Linked DNA regions of Macaca fascicularis. The main gene of each other region encodes a partner of the protein of the gene in region 3 in a complex. Links are inferred from orthologs where the notes say so. Each region holds a gene or a part of one and is shown on either strand. Other genes may lie near its edges.

Region 1 (3,650 bases), on a different chromosome or scaffold from region 3:
TAACCTACGCAGCACTGCACGAGACTCGGATACTGAACAGGAGAAACACAAAACACTCCAGGCCTGGACACGTCGCAGCTGGGGCGCCGGCGGGGACGCACAGCCGGCCTCAGTCTCCATCTGCATCTGAGTCCGCGAACTTCAGCTCACACTTGACGTCGAAGGGCTTGTCCCTGGCGGAAAGGTCGTCGATCCTCTGTGAGTCCTCCCTGTCCGTGGGGACTTTGCTGGTGATGGTGTCTTGCTCAGTCTCATAGCCAGTGTCCAGGGCTGGCTTGGGGTGCTCCCCATTCTGCTGGGAGAAGCTTCCTGGCTCCACTAACGTCTCCTTCAGGCTCTGCTCACGGTCACAAAAATCTGACTTGGGCTTCTTCTTCCCGATCAGCAGGGCCGAGCGGAATTTCAAGCACTGTCTGGGCAGGTATCCCTTATAGCAGTTGTAGAAAAAGAGGCAGAGGAAGAGAACAAAGAAGAAGAGGAAGAGGGACATGAGGAGGCGGTTATCGCTGGACTTAAGATACATGGTTTTCTCCGAGTGGAGCTGGGGGACCGTGTTGATGACAATCTTTGGTTCACAGGATGTGCTGGTGGGCACAGGCTTGGGAGGAAGGGTGATGGCCCCGGAGGAGGTGGCCTGCACGGCTGGGGTCGGGGGAGAAGACCCTTGGGTGGATGCCACCAACACTTTGGTGGCAATCCTACTACCTTCTGTCTGAACAACTGACAAGGTGGGGGCCACCACGGGCTTTGGAACCACCTTCACTTCCAGGACGTGCTTGGCGACTACTTGGAAGACCGTCTTGTTCTTAACCCTCTCCTCTGACAGGCACTGGTACACCCCACTGTCTCCTTCTGATAAGTTGAAGATGAGCAAGTTTTTTCTGCCCATAAGACCGTACTTGGGGCTCTCAGCCTTCAACACGCCATTCTGGAACTTCCAAAACACCCGGGCCAGGTTGGACTTTTGGGAGCATTTCAGTTCCGCTGTGCCACCGTGCTTGAAAAAATGCTGCCGGTAACTTCCTTTACTTTTATCTGGAACATCAAAATAAACGTGCACAGCGTCAACAATCCCCATTTGCTATTTAACAATTTCTTTAAAATACCCACAAGATGATGCAAGAGTTTCACCCACTGGAGCAACATGGAATCTTCCAGAACAACTAAGGAGATAAAGACATGCGTGACCAAAAAGCAAAGATGAGCCCTGGATGACAGCCGATAGGGACAAAGAAATCAGAGGCAGCTCTGAGCAGCAGAAATCGCATTTCTCACCCGTGTCCCAGAAGAAAACGCGCCAGGCCGGGGAGGCTGAGCAGAGGCCAGTTGTGCGCCTAGTGTCACTCTCTGAATCAGACACGAGATGCTTCTGCTAGTGGCTACAAGGAAGGCTGACCTTTCGGTGTATCTCAGCACTCTCCTCCTGCCTAAACTTTTTTTTTTTTTTTTTTTTTCTTGAAACAGGGTCTGGTTCTGTTGCCCAGGCTGGAGTGCAGTGGTGCAATCACAGCTCACTGCAGCCTCAACCTCCCCAGTTCAAGGGATCTTCCCACCTCAGTCTCCAGAGTAGCTGGGACTACAGGTGTCTACCTCCAGGTCTGGCTAATTTTTGTATTTTTTGTAGAGACAGGGTCTCACCACATTGCCCAGGGTGGTCCTGAACTCATGAGCTCAAGTGATCCTCCTGCTTCAGACTCCCAAAATGCTGGATTCCAGGCGTGAGCCACTGTGCCCGGCCAGCTTTTCTTTTCTTTTTAGAGTCTGGGTCTCACTTAGTCACCCAGGCTGGAGTGCAGTGGCATGATAAGCTCACCGCAGCCTTGAACCCCTGGGCTCAAGCAATCCTCCTGCCTCAGCCTCCCTAGTAGCTGGGACTACAGGCGTGTACCGCCATGCCCAGCTGTCTAAACTTTTCTTAGTCTGATGACAGCTGTCTTGTCAGGGACAGGAGGACACAGAACCGAGGGTCAAGTCTGCCTTTAGCACCCTGGAAGGTGGCTGCTGGGGAAGGGGCGTCCTGGCCTGATGCCACCCCTCCCTCTGGGCGAGGCGCTATTTCAGACATCCACAGGCGGGTGAATCTCAGGTGGGAGCCCCAGGGGAAACACCACCCCAGCCCTTCCACTGCCTGAGGATTAATCACTCACAGGCTCCTTTCTCCCCATTTGTAACAGACTTAGGTTTTGTTTAATGAGCCCCAAGCTAAGCAGAAAGAAAACAGGACCGTTTTGGAAGGAGACTGCTCCCCAGTAAACAGACACACTCTAAGTGGCTTCAAATACTCTTTTGGCAAGAAAAAAAGACAGAGAAGACCACGAGTCTGCTACAGGACACTTAACCTCTGTTCCAAGTGGAGAAAGAAAAACAAAACACACACAAATGCCACAGAACTGAAGCACCATGAAATGGTTACAAGACCTCGCCACTCCCACAGGAACCAGGACGTCGAGGAGTCACTCACCCGGGCACACAGAAGCATCGCCGCTCATCTCCTGAATCAAACCCCTGCAAAACAACCGGCAGTGTTACTCACCCGCACACACGGGGACATCCCCCGGCGGCGCGTCCCACCCCGTACCTGCTGGGGCTCTCAGTCTGGTACAGAGCCACACACGTCGCTGTGGGTGGGCTCCAGGCGCAGTAGGGGTCCCGAGCCAGCACACAGTCCTCGCAGGTGCCGTGCTTCCCACAGAAGGCCAGAGGGGCCTGGACCACGCCCGAGTTAGAGCCAGCATAGACGAACCTCCTGCCCTGCGTGTGTGAGACACAGGAGAACTAGCATCAGGCAAGCAGGCACCAGTGTGTGGGAAGCAGCCAGAGTGCACCATCAGGGCACGCTGCAGTAAGGAGGACAGGTACTCAGAACCAGAGGCGAACAAGGCAGGCCTGCGACCTTCCGGCAGAATACACGCGCTACATCAGGGCTCACTGGGCCTTAGATCCAAATCCCTCTCTCCCCTGTCTGGGCACCCACTGCCCGGGTCCTGCCCTCCAGCAGAGCGCTTCTCTGCATGTGTTTCTCTTAGCCAGTGGAGAGGCTGTTCAGTCCCCACCTCCAGACCGCCTCCACGTAGAGGGGGATGCATGAGCCTGGCACTCCTGGTCATCTTCCCGGCCTCACTACAGGGGAGAAGGGGCTGCAGCCAGAGGCTGAAGCACACCACCTCGAAGCCCAACCTTATCCCTCGAGCCAGAATGTGAGCACCTATGGGCGGGGAGCCTCTTGTGAGGCTCTGGATCCAGCAGGGACCTAACATAACGGGGATGCCAAATGGACGACATGCAAAGGATGAGCAGATCGCGATACATAACATAAAAGAAGGAACAATGCCTTTGCTCTTCACGTGTCTATAAGTAAAAGGGAAGAGCTCCAGAGCAGCCACACCCACAGCAGAGGGCAGGTGAGACTCTCCACCTTCTGGGACACTTGGCTCCCAGGGACACCAGCTTCAGGCCAATCCCATCAGCCCACCTGGCACCAGCAGTGCCCAGCACACAGGCATCCAAGGCTGCTGACTGCTTTTGAATGGAACTCAGCTGGAAGGAGGGTGCCCCACACTGCACCCACCTGAAGCTCAGGGGCATGCAACAGACCTGGAGGTGGCCCGTGGAGTGTGCTGTCTAGCCTCTGCCCAGGGCATCTGCCTCGA
Region 2 (3,650 bases), on a different chromosome or scaffold from region 3:
CCCGGGCTCAAGCACTCCTTTCTCAGCCTCCCACAGTGCGGGGATTACAGGCATGAGCCACCATGTCCAGCCGGTGTTCTGTAGTTTAAATAAGGGTAGGACTGTTTACTATGGTAACTTTCCAGGTCATTTAATAACACAAGATAATGTATTATTTTCTCATGAGGGTCTTCAAAAGCATAAAAGTTGGAACCATTATAGGAACAATAGTAGAATGTTTACTAATTGCCACTTCTAGTATGTGGGCTTATGTGTTAACTTTTTCGGATTTTAAGTCTTTCTGTACCATTTCACTAGGTGGTGGTTTTGGCAGATTTATTTGGTGGCCGTTAAAATAGACTTTTATGTCATATATTAATACTTTGTCAACAAGCTTGTAAATGTGCTTATTCCCCTTAACTTCCAAAGAATGAGAGTTTTCTAGAGCTGCTAATACTAAAAGATGATTCTCTTACTAATAAGTTGTTAATATTTAGACCAAGCCTAAGTAGTACCTGGACTTTTCATGAGTACTATTTCTTAGAACTTTCTTTGAAATTAGAGCCTTGGAACTCAGAAGCCACTTTCTTATAGACAAGCATATGTACCATGCTCATCCAATTATTCATAGAAAAATTAAAGGATATGTTGAGACTCTAGTGGCTGAATGTTTGTAACTTGATTTTCATAATCTGTTACTATCTGTTTAGAATGAGGTTTGGAAGATAGTACTCCTGAATGTTTTTCTGCAAGATACCTTTTCCTTTTTAGAAAATCGTATGCAGATTACTTTAACATGGCCTTTGTGCCATTTTCAAGAACTGACAAATAGCAGTAATGATAGTTGATGTAAATGGCGTATTTTATATTAAGAATTTCTTAAAAAGAGACTGTATTATATAGAATATCATGTTACTGAGTGCTTGGAAATTATTTGTGCATGATTTTCTTTATTTTGCCAGAATTTGGATTTAACAAAAAGGAAGATGATTCATGAAGGACCATTGGTTTGGAAGGTGAATAGAGATAAAACTATTGGTAGGTCTGATATTGTCTGTTAGTTTTGGGGAGAGTGGCAAAAGGGAAGAAATAGGAGTTTCCTATGACAAAAGGAAGAGGAGAGAACCATTCTCTCAGCAGTTAGCAGTGCTACCTCGTGTTATTTGTACATTTGTAGATCTGCTTGTGTTATTTCATTATATGTAACGTGTTAAATATTCATTTAGGAATGTAACAGAGATCTGATTTAGTCCTATTTCCATCATTCTTATATTCTAGTAAGTCTTAGTATGCTTTGTAAGCTTTCTTTAGACCAGTACTTGTTAAACTGTCTGTGATGAGGAACTGTTTTTTTTTTTTTTTTTTTCCAAGAAACAAGGTCTTACTATGTTGCCCAGGCTGACGTGTAGTGGCTATTCACAGATGCAGTCATGGTGCACTGCTGCCTCGAACTCCTGGGCTTAAGTGATCCTCCTGCCTTAGCCTCCCTAGTAGCCAGGATTATAGGCGCACACCACCACACCCAGCTTGTTGTTTTTTATTTCCTGTTGGTCACAGATTGACACTTTAGTGAAATACAATAAAAATGAATTATTGAAAATGAAATTTTAAAAGATAATATACAAGTCAATTTTGAAAATTTTGTAGCTTTAACAGAAATAAAATTCCTCTGTTGAATCATTATAAAGTTAACCAAAGACGTCCCAATTTCTGTACTTACCATTTTTTTCTGTACTTTTATTTCTAGATTTATACACATTGCTGCTAGAAGACATTCTTGTATTGTTACAAAAGCAGGATGATAGACTGGTGTTAAGGTGTCATAGTAAGATTCTGGCATCTACAGCTGATAGCAAACATACGTTTAGCCCTGTCATTAAGTTGAGTACAGTGTTGGTTCGACAAGTGGCAACAGGCAAGTATGTCCACTGAAGGATACTAATTTCCAGGTTCATTGTGAAGTTGCATAAGATACTCATTGCTGTTTAAGTAACACAAGTGGCATAGAGTCTTGCTATTTTTATATTATTAAGCAAATTACGTGAAATTTACTGCTTAGAAAGAGACTTAAGAGTTTATACCCCAAAGTTATTTAGGGTGTCTAGATTCTGTGAATGGTTTTCTGTATTTGAAAATTTTTATGCTGTTACTTTGGTTCTTTATGTTCAAATCATTGATAGATCCCAGTGAAAAGCCTTTCATTTAGGGTGGTATGTTTTTTGATTTGGTAAGAAAAAAAATAAAAACTGAAGAGATGGATGGAATTTTGATTAAAAATCAAATTTGACTGGCAAGTTGTATTTTAACTCTATTAACAAAGGGGTCCCTTTTAAAACTTGTTAGTTTCATGGTGGCAAAATAAATTTGTGATCTCTTTTCTCCACTATTCACTGAATATTATTAACAACTTAGCAAAAGGGCAGTTCAAAATAAATGCAAAAGAGTAATAGCATTTAATTTGGTAATTTGGATTTTTTTTTTTTTTTTCTTTTGAGACGAGGGTCTCACCCTGTCACCCAGGCTGGAGTTCAGTGGTGCATCCTTGGCACACTGCAACCTCTGCATCCCGTGCTCAAGCAATTCTTCAACCTCAGCCTCCTGAGTAGCTGGGACTACAGGCATGTACCACCATGGCCTGGCTAATTTTTTTGTTTTTTGTAGAGGCAGCGTTTCGCCATGCTGCCCAGGCTGGTCTTGAACTCCTGAGCTCAACGAAGTCCACCTGCCTCAGCCTTCTAAAGTGCTGGGATTACAGGCATGAGCCACCATGCCCAGCCAGTAATTTGGATTTTTGACATCCTTTTGTTTCTAGTGAATTATTGTGGAATTAGTGCTAATTTGTATAATCTTTGTTTTATTGAAGTACAATAAATATAATACAGTAATTAGGTTAATATGGTAAGTTGCACAAATTTTAACTGTACATCTTGATGAATTTTAAAGTAAATATATGTAACCTTTATCTAGTTTAAGGAGAGGACTATTTCAAGACTCTAAAAACATCCCTCATGGTCTCCCAAGATCAGAGTGTTAGAGTAATCTTGTCTTGTTTTTTCCAGATAACAAAGCTTTATTCGTCATCTCCATGTCAGACAATGGAGCTCAGATTTATGAACTGGTGGCACAGACAGTTTCTGAAAAGACTGTGTATGTATTAGATATGGCTACCTTGCTATAGCTACTATTTTCATTATCCCAAGCATAATACTCCATAAACTTAACTTTGTTTTTATAATGTATGGAAACCAAGCACTTCTTCTACTCTTTTAGAGACATTCTACTATGAAATTGTTCTTTTTTAGATTGATGCCTTTTATTTTGATTCTATTCTGGAAGTTTATTTCCTAAAGAAAAAAATATGGAAAATGTCAGCTGAAGTTTTTTTAATGGGTAATGTCTCCATAACGTTAGATTTTTCTTAAGGTATAGTTTTGGACTCTCACCTTAATAGTGTGTTGCCAAAATAAAGATATTCTCTGGCAGAGTGAAGTGTTTTTTTTTTTTTTTGGTTGGTTGGTTGATTGGTTTTTGTTTAGTTCTGTTTTTCTTTTTGTTTTGTGAGTATATTTAAAGGATATTTCTTTTGTTGTTTCTTTTTTGTATTTTGGATTTCTTTCCAACTTTCTGAAGCTGGCAGGACCTAATCTGTCGGATGGCTGCATCAGTGAAGG
Region 3 (2,649 bases):
CCACCATCTCATCACAGAACAAGCAGGGGTCTTGTCCTGGCAGCTGCCATATACCCTGATTCAGCCAGGCACTTGTAAGGTAGCTGGGATTCAGCCTCAGGCCTGCCTGGGTCTGCCTGTGTGCGTCTTCCCACTGCTGTGCCTCCCTTGGTGGCACAGGTGTCCCCTCCACTTCCCCCATTCCTAAAACAGCCCTAAAATGTAACTCCAGGGAGTTACGAACAATGTTTCTGAAATGTTGATGGTGATGACAGCCACAACCACAACACTAATAGCAGCTGTAATTTTGGGGTGTTGTGTGTGAAGCCCTTCATAGGGTGCTTTGATTGTCTTACTTGATCCTCACAAGAACTCCACAAGTTAAGTGACACTGACTCCATCATCCAGGTGAGGAAGTTGAGGCTCAGAGATGTCCCCATGGAGGGGCCTGAGAGTGACCTCAGGAAATACTTGAGTTAGGCCAGAGCAGAATCATGCTGGGCTGTCAGCCTGCAAGTGACATCAGTGCCACTTGGCTCTGGAGTCACCTGGGTGGCAGAGGGTCTGGGCTAGAACCTTAAGGGATTGAGAGAGGCAGGGCTCCAGTGGAAACCCCAGACCTTGCTGAAGCAGTTAGACCTGAGCTGTCTTCCTACCACGGAGACCCTCTTGGCGCTGCCCTGTTCTGTCACCATCTGGCACGCCTGGCCTGGGGTCCCTGGGCCATGGAGGGGACTCTGCTTCCCACTGTAGTGCCCATCCCATTCCCTACCTCTCAGGTCCCCTTCTCCCCCAACCCTTCCCTGGGGTCCTGGGCCACCTCCTGTGGCTGTCTGTACCCCTCATCTCTCTCACCTTTCATTTGGCCTCTTTCCTAGAACTACTCTGGAGACCTCGGGGCGCGAGTGGCCCTGCATGAACTCTACAAGTACATCAACAAGTACTATGACCAGGTGGGCAGGCCCTGGGCCCCAACTGGGAGGCTGACCCAAGGCATCCCAGGAGACTTAAGGGGCTCTGACCCTGTGACTCATGGTGGGGGCTTTGGTCTTCCCCAGGAACAGCATAGTGGGGGACCGGGCCCCTGGGCGGCTTGGGAAGTGTTCTCCAGGCGGGTTTCCTGGCATTGACTGTACTCTCACTTGTCCCACCACTCCCCATTCCGGCTCCCCAGCAGGATGGCGAGGCACAGTGCTGGTGGTTGTGGGGGCCAAGGGGTCTACCAGGGCCTGGAGGTGGTATGCATTTGCTGAGTTGGCAGCATGTTGGGCATGGCCAACATGCAGGTGCAGGCCTGGCTTGGCTGCATGAGCTGAGAAGAGGAGAGTCCAGGCACACGGGCTGGGGTGTGAGGGTACACTGGAGCTGGTGAATCTTTTTGGACGATCCCTGGGCTGGGCCTGAAGAGCTGAGCACCTGCCAGTCAACCTGCTGGGTGCCTGATGGAATAGTCCACTTAGATGTTTGTGTGGCACCAGTGAAGTGATTGTTGCTGCTCAGAGATGAGGAACCTGCCTCATGGCCCACAGTCTTCCTGGGCATGGTATGGGCCATGGCATGGGGCATGGGGGAGGCAGAGTGTAATGCAGGCATGACCCCTCGTGGAGACATAGTGGGCAGTGGCTGTTTTCCAAAGTGCTGCTGCCCTCCGGTTCCTACTGGCTCCCTTGGTGGCAGCCCCCAATTTGTGGTTGGTGTTTGATCAGTGTCTGTTTTCTCAGCACATGTGTCTGGTCATTCTTGGGTCTCTGCCCCTTGTCTGGCACCAGGCAGATAGGAACTTGGGAAATGCTGTTGCCGGGCGGGTGGGTGAGCCAGGATGGCTGCATCAGGGCTTCTGAGGGGCTCGGTACTGAGTCAGGTCCTTCATTTCCTACCTTATTCGTCCAGAAACGGTGGCTTTGATGTTATTACCCCTCCTGCTGGCGAGGCCCTGAGGTCACAGAAAGTACGTGAAGTGACTGGCTGGGTTTCTTGGCCTCCTATCCCACTTGTGCCACAGCGTCTTAGGAGGGCTGTTGAATTTTGCAGCAAACACGTTGGCCAAAGAAGTCTCCCCCTGATGGCATTGGTCTCTGTTTCAGATCATCACTGCCCTGGAGGAGGATGGCACGGCCCAGAAAATGCAGCTGGGCTATCGGCTCCAGCAGATTGCAGCTGCTGTGGAAAACAAGGTCACAGATCTATAGGGACCCAGGAGCCACGGCCTGCTATTGCTTCAGCCCGGCCTGGGCAGCCCTGGAACCTCGGGGGGAGAGGCCACCTTCTTAGGTGCCTGTAGTGACTGACAAGCAGTTAGTGGAAGGTGACTCACAGTCTCCTGGTGGCTCTGGCCTTGGCCCTGCTGGACCCACCTCCTAGGCCAGGGGCCTCAAGGCTCATGGGGTAGGACCTAGCCTGCTTCCCGAGTCCAGGGACCCTATGACACCGGTCTGCAGGGAGTTGGGGACTGAGGGCTTCCAGAGAGTGGCCGGAAGAGCCTCCAGGCCCCTGGGGAGACTGTGCTGTTCCTGAACACTGGCCTTGGCTGCACTGGGATTCGGAGAGGAAGGAGGAGAGCCCCATACTTCCTGTCTGCCTCCTCCACCATTCCTGACCTCAGTTGAGCTGCCTCTGGCCTCGTTGCTGCTGCCACATCCTAGGTCTAAGAGTTGAATGCCTCTCCTAGGC

What was found.
Region 1: the proteins of PLXNB1 (region 3) and SEMA4D are in contact, whole or in part, in a crystal structure (PDB 3OL2), measured with the Homo sapiens proteins. The link is inferred for Macaca fascicularis from reciprocal best matches to the Homo sapiens genes PLXNB1 and SEMA4D. Residues at the interface, in NP_001123554.1 of Homo sapiens: Leu80, Pro81, Pro82, Glu87, Arg136, Pro137, Gly138, Asp139, Thr140, Tyr142, Gly178, Glu202, Lys205, Ala207, Gly209, Arg210, Ser212, Glu213, Arg235, Arg242, Asp359, Val360, Asn361, Ser362, Leu367, Pro368, Thr371, Tyr375, Ser379, Asp380; in NP_001358123.1 of Homo sapiens: Glu99, Lys100, Gly101, Phe158, Tyr179, Phe181, Leu182, Gly183, Ser184, Arg198, Tyr201, Ile203, Glu208, Val240, Leu264, Arg265, Thr266, Leu267, Gln268, Lys270, Thr347, Gln350, Ser351, His352, Thr353, Asp388, Gln392, Lys395.
Region 2: the proteins of PLXNB1 (region 3) and ARHGEF12 are in contact, whole or in part, in an NMR structure (PDB 2OS6), measured with the Homo sapiens proteins. The link is inferred for Macaca fascicularis from reciprocal best matches to the Homo sapiens genes PLXNB1 and ARHGEF12. Residues at the interface, in NP_001123554.1 of Homo sapiens: Glu2129, Lys2131, Val2132, Thr2133, Asp2134, Leu2135; in NP_056128.1 of Homo sapiens: Phe82, Gly83, Leu84, Thr85, Val86, Ser87, Gly88, Asp89, His127, Val131, Lys135.

Annotation. Positions count from the first base shown.
Region 1 is NC_088389.1:119,732,790-119,736,439, forward strand, and holds part of SEMA4D (semaphorin-4D), read right to left. Parts: intron 2,752-3,650; coding exon 2,579-2,751; intron 2,506-2,578; coding exon 2,462-2,505; intron 1,036-2,461; exon of another isoform or gene 1-1,035. UniProt on the Homo sapiens protein: Cell surface receptor for PLXNB1 and PLXNB2 that plays an important role in cell-cell signaling. Regulates GABAergic synapse development. Promotes the development of inhibitory synapses in a PLXNB1-dependent manner.
Region 2 is NC_088388.1:119,342,637-119,346,286, forward strand, and holds part of ARHGEF12 (rho guanine nucleotide exchange factor 12), read left to right. Parts: intron 1-941; coding exon 942-1,017; intron 1,018-1,726; coding exon 1,727-1,894; intron 1,895-3,038; coding exon 3,039-3,126; intron 3,127-3,609; coding exon 3,610-3,650. UniProt on the Homo sapiens protein: May play a role in the regulation of RhoA GTPase by guanine nucleotide-binding alpha-12 (GNA12) and alpha-13 (GNA13). Acts as guanine nucleotide exchange factor (GEF) for RhoA GTPase and may act as GTPase-activating protein (GAP) for GNA12 and GNA13.
Region 3 is NC_088376.1:111,368,732-111,371,380, reverse strand, and holds part of PLXNB1 (plexin-B1), read left to right. Parts: intron 1-857; coding exon 858-932; intron 933-2,063; coding exon 2,064-2,168; 3' UTR 2,169-2,649. UniProt on the Homo sapiens protein: Receptor for SEMA4D. Plays a role in GABAergic synapse development. Mediates SEMA4A- and SEMA4D-dependent inhibitory synapse development. Plays a role in RHOA activation and subsequent changes of the actin cytoskeleton.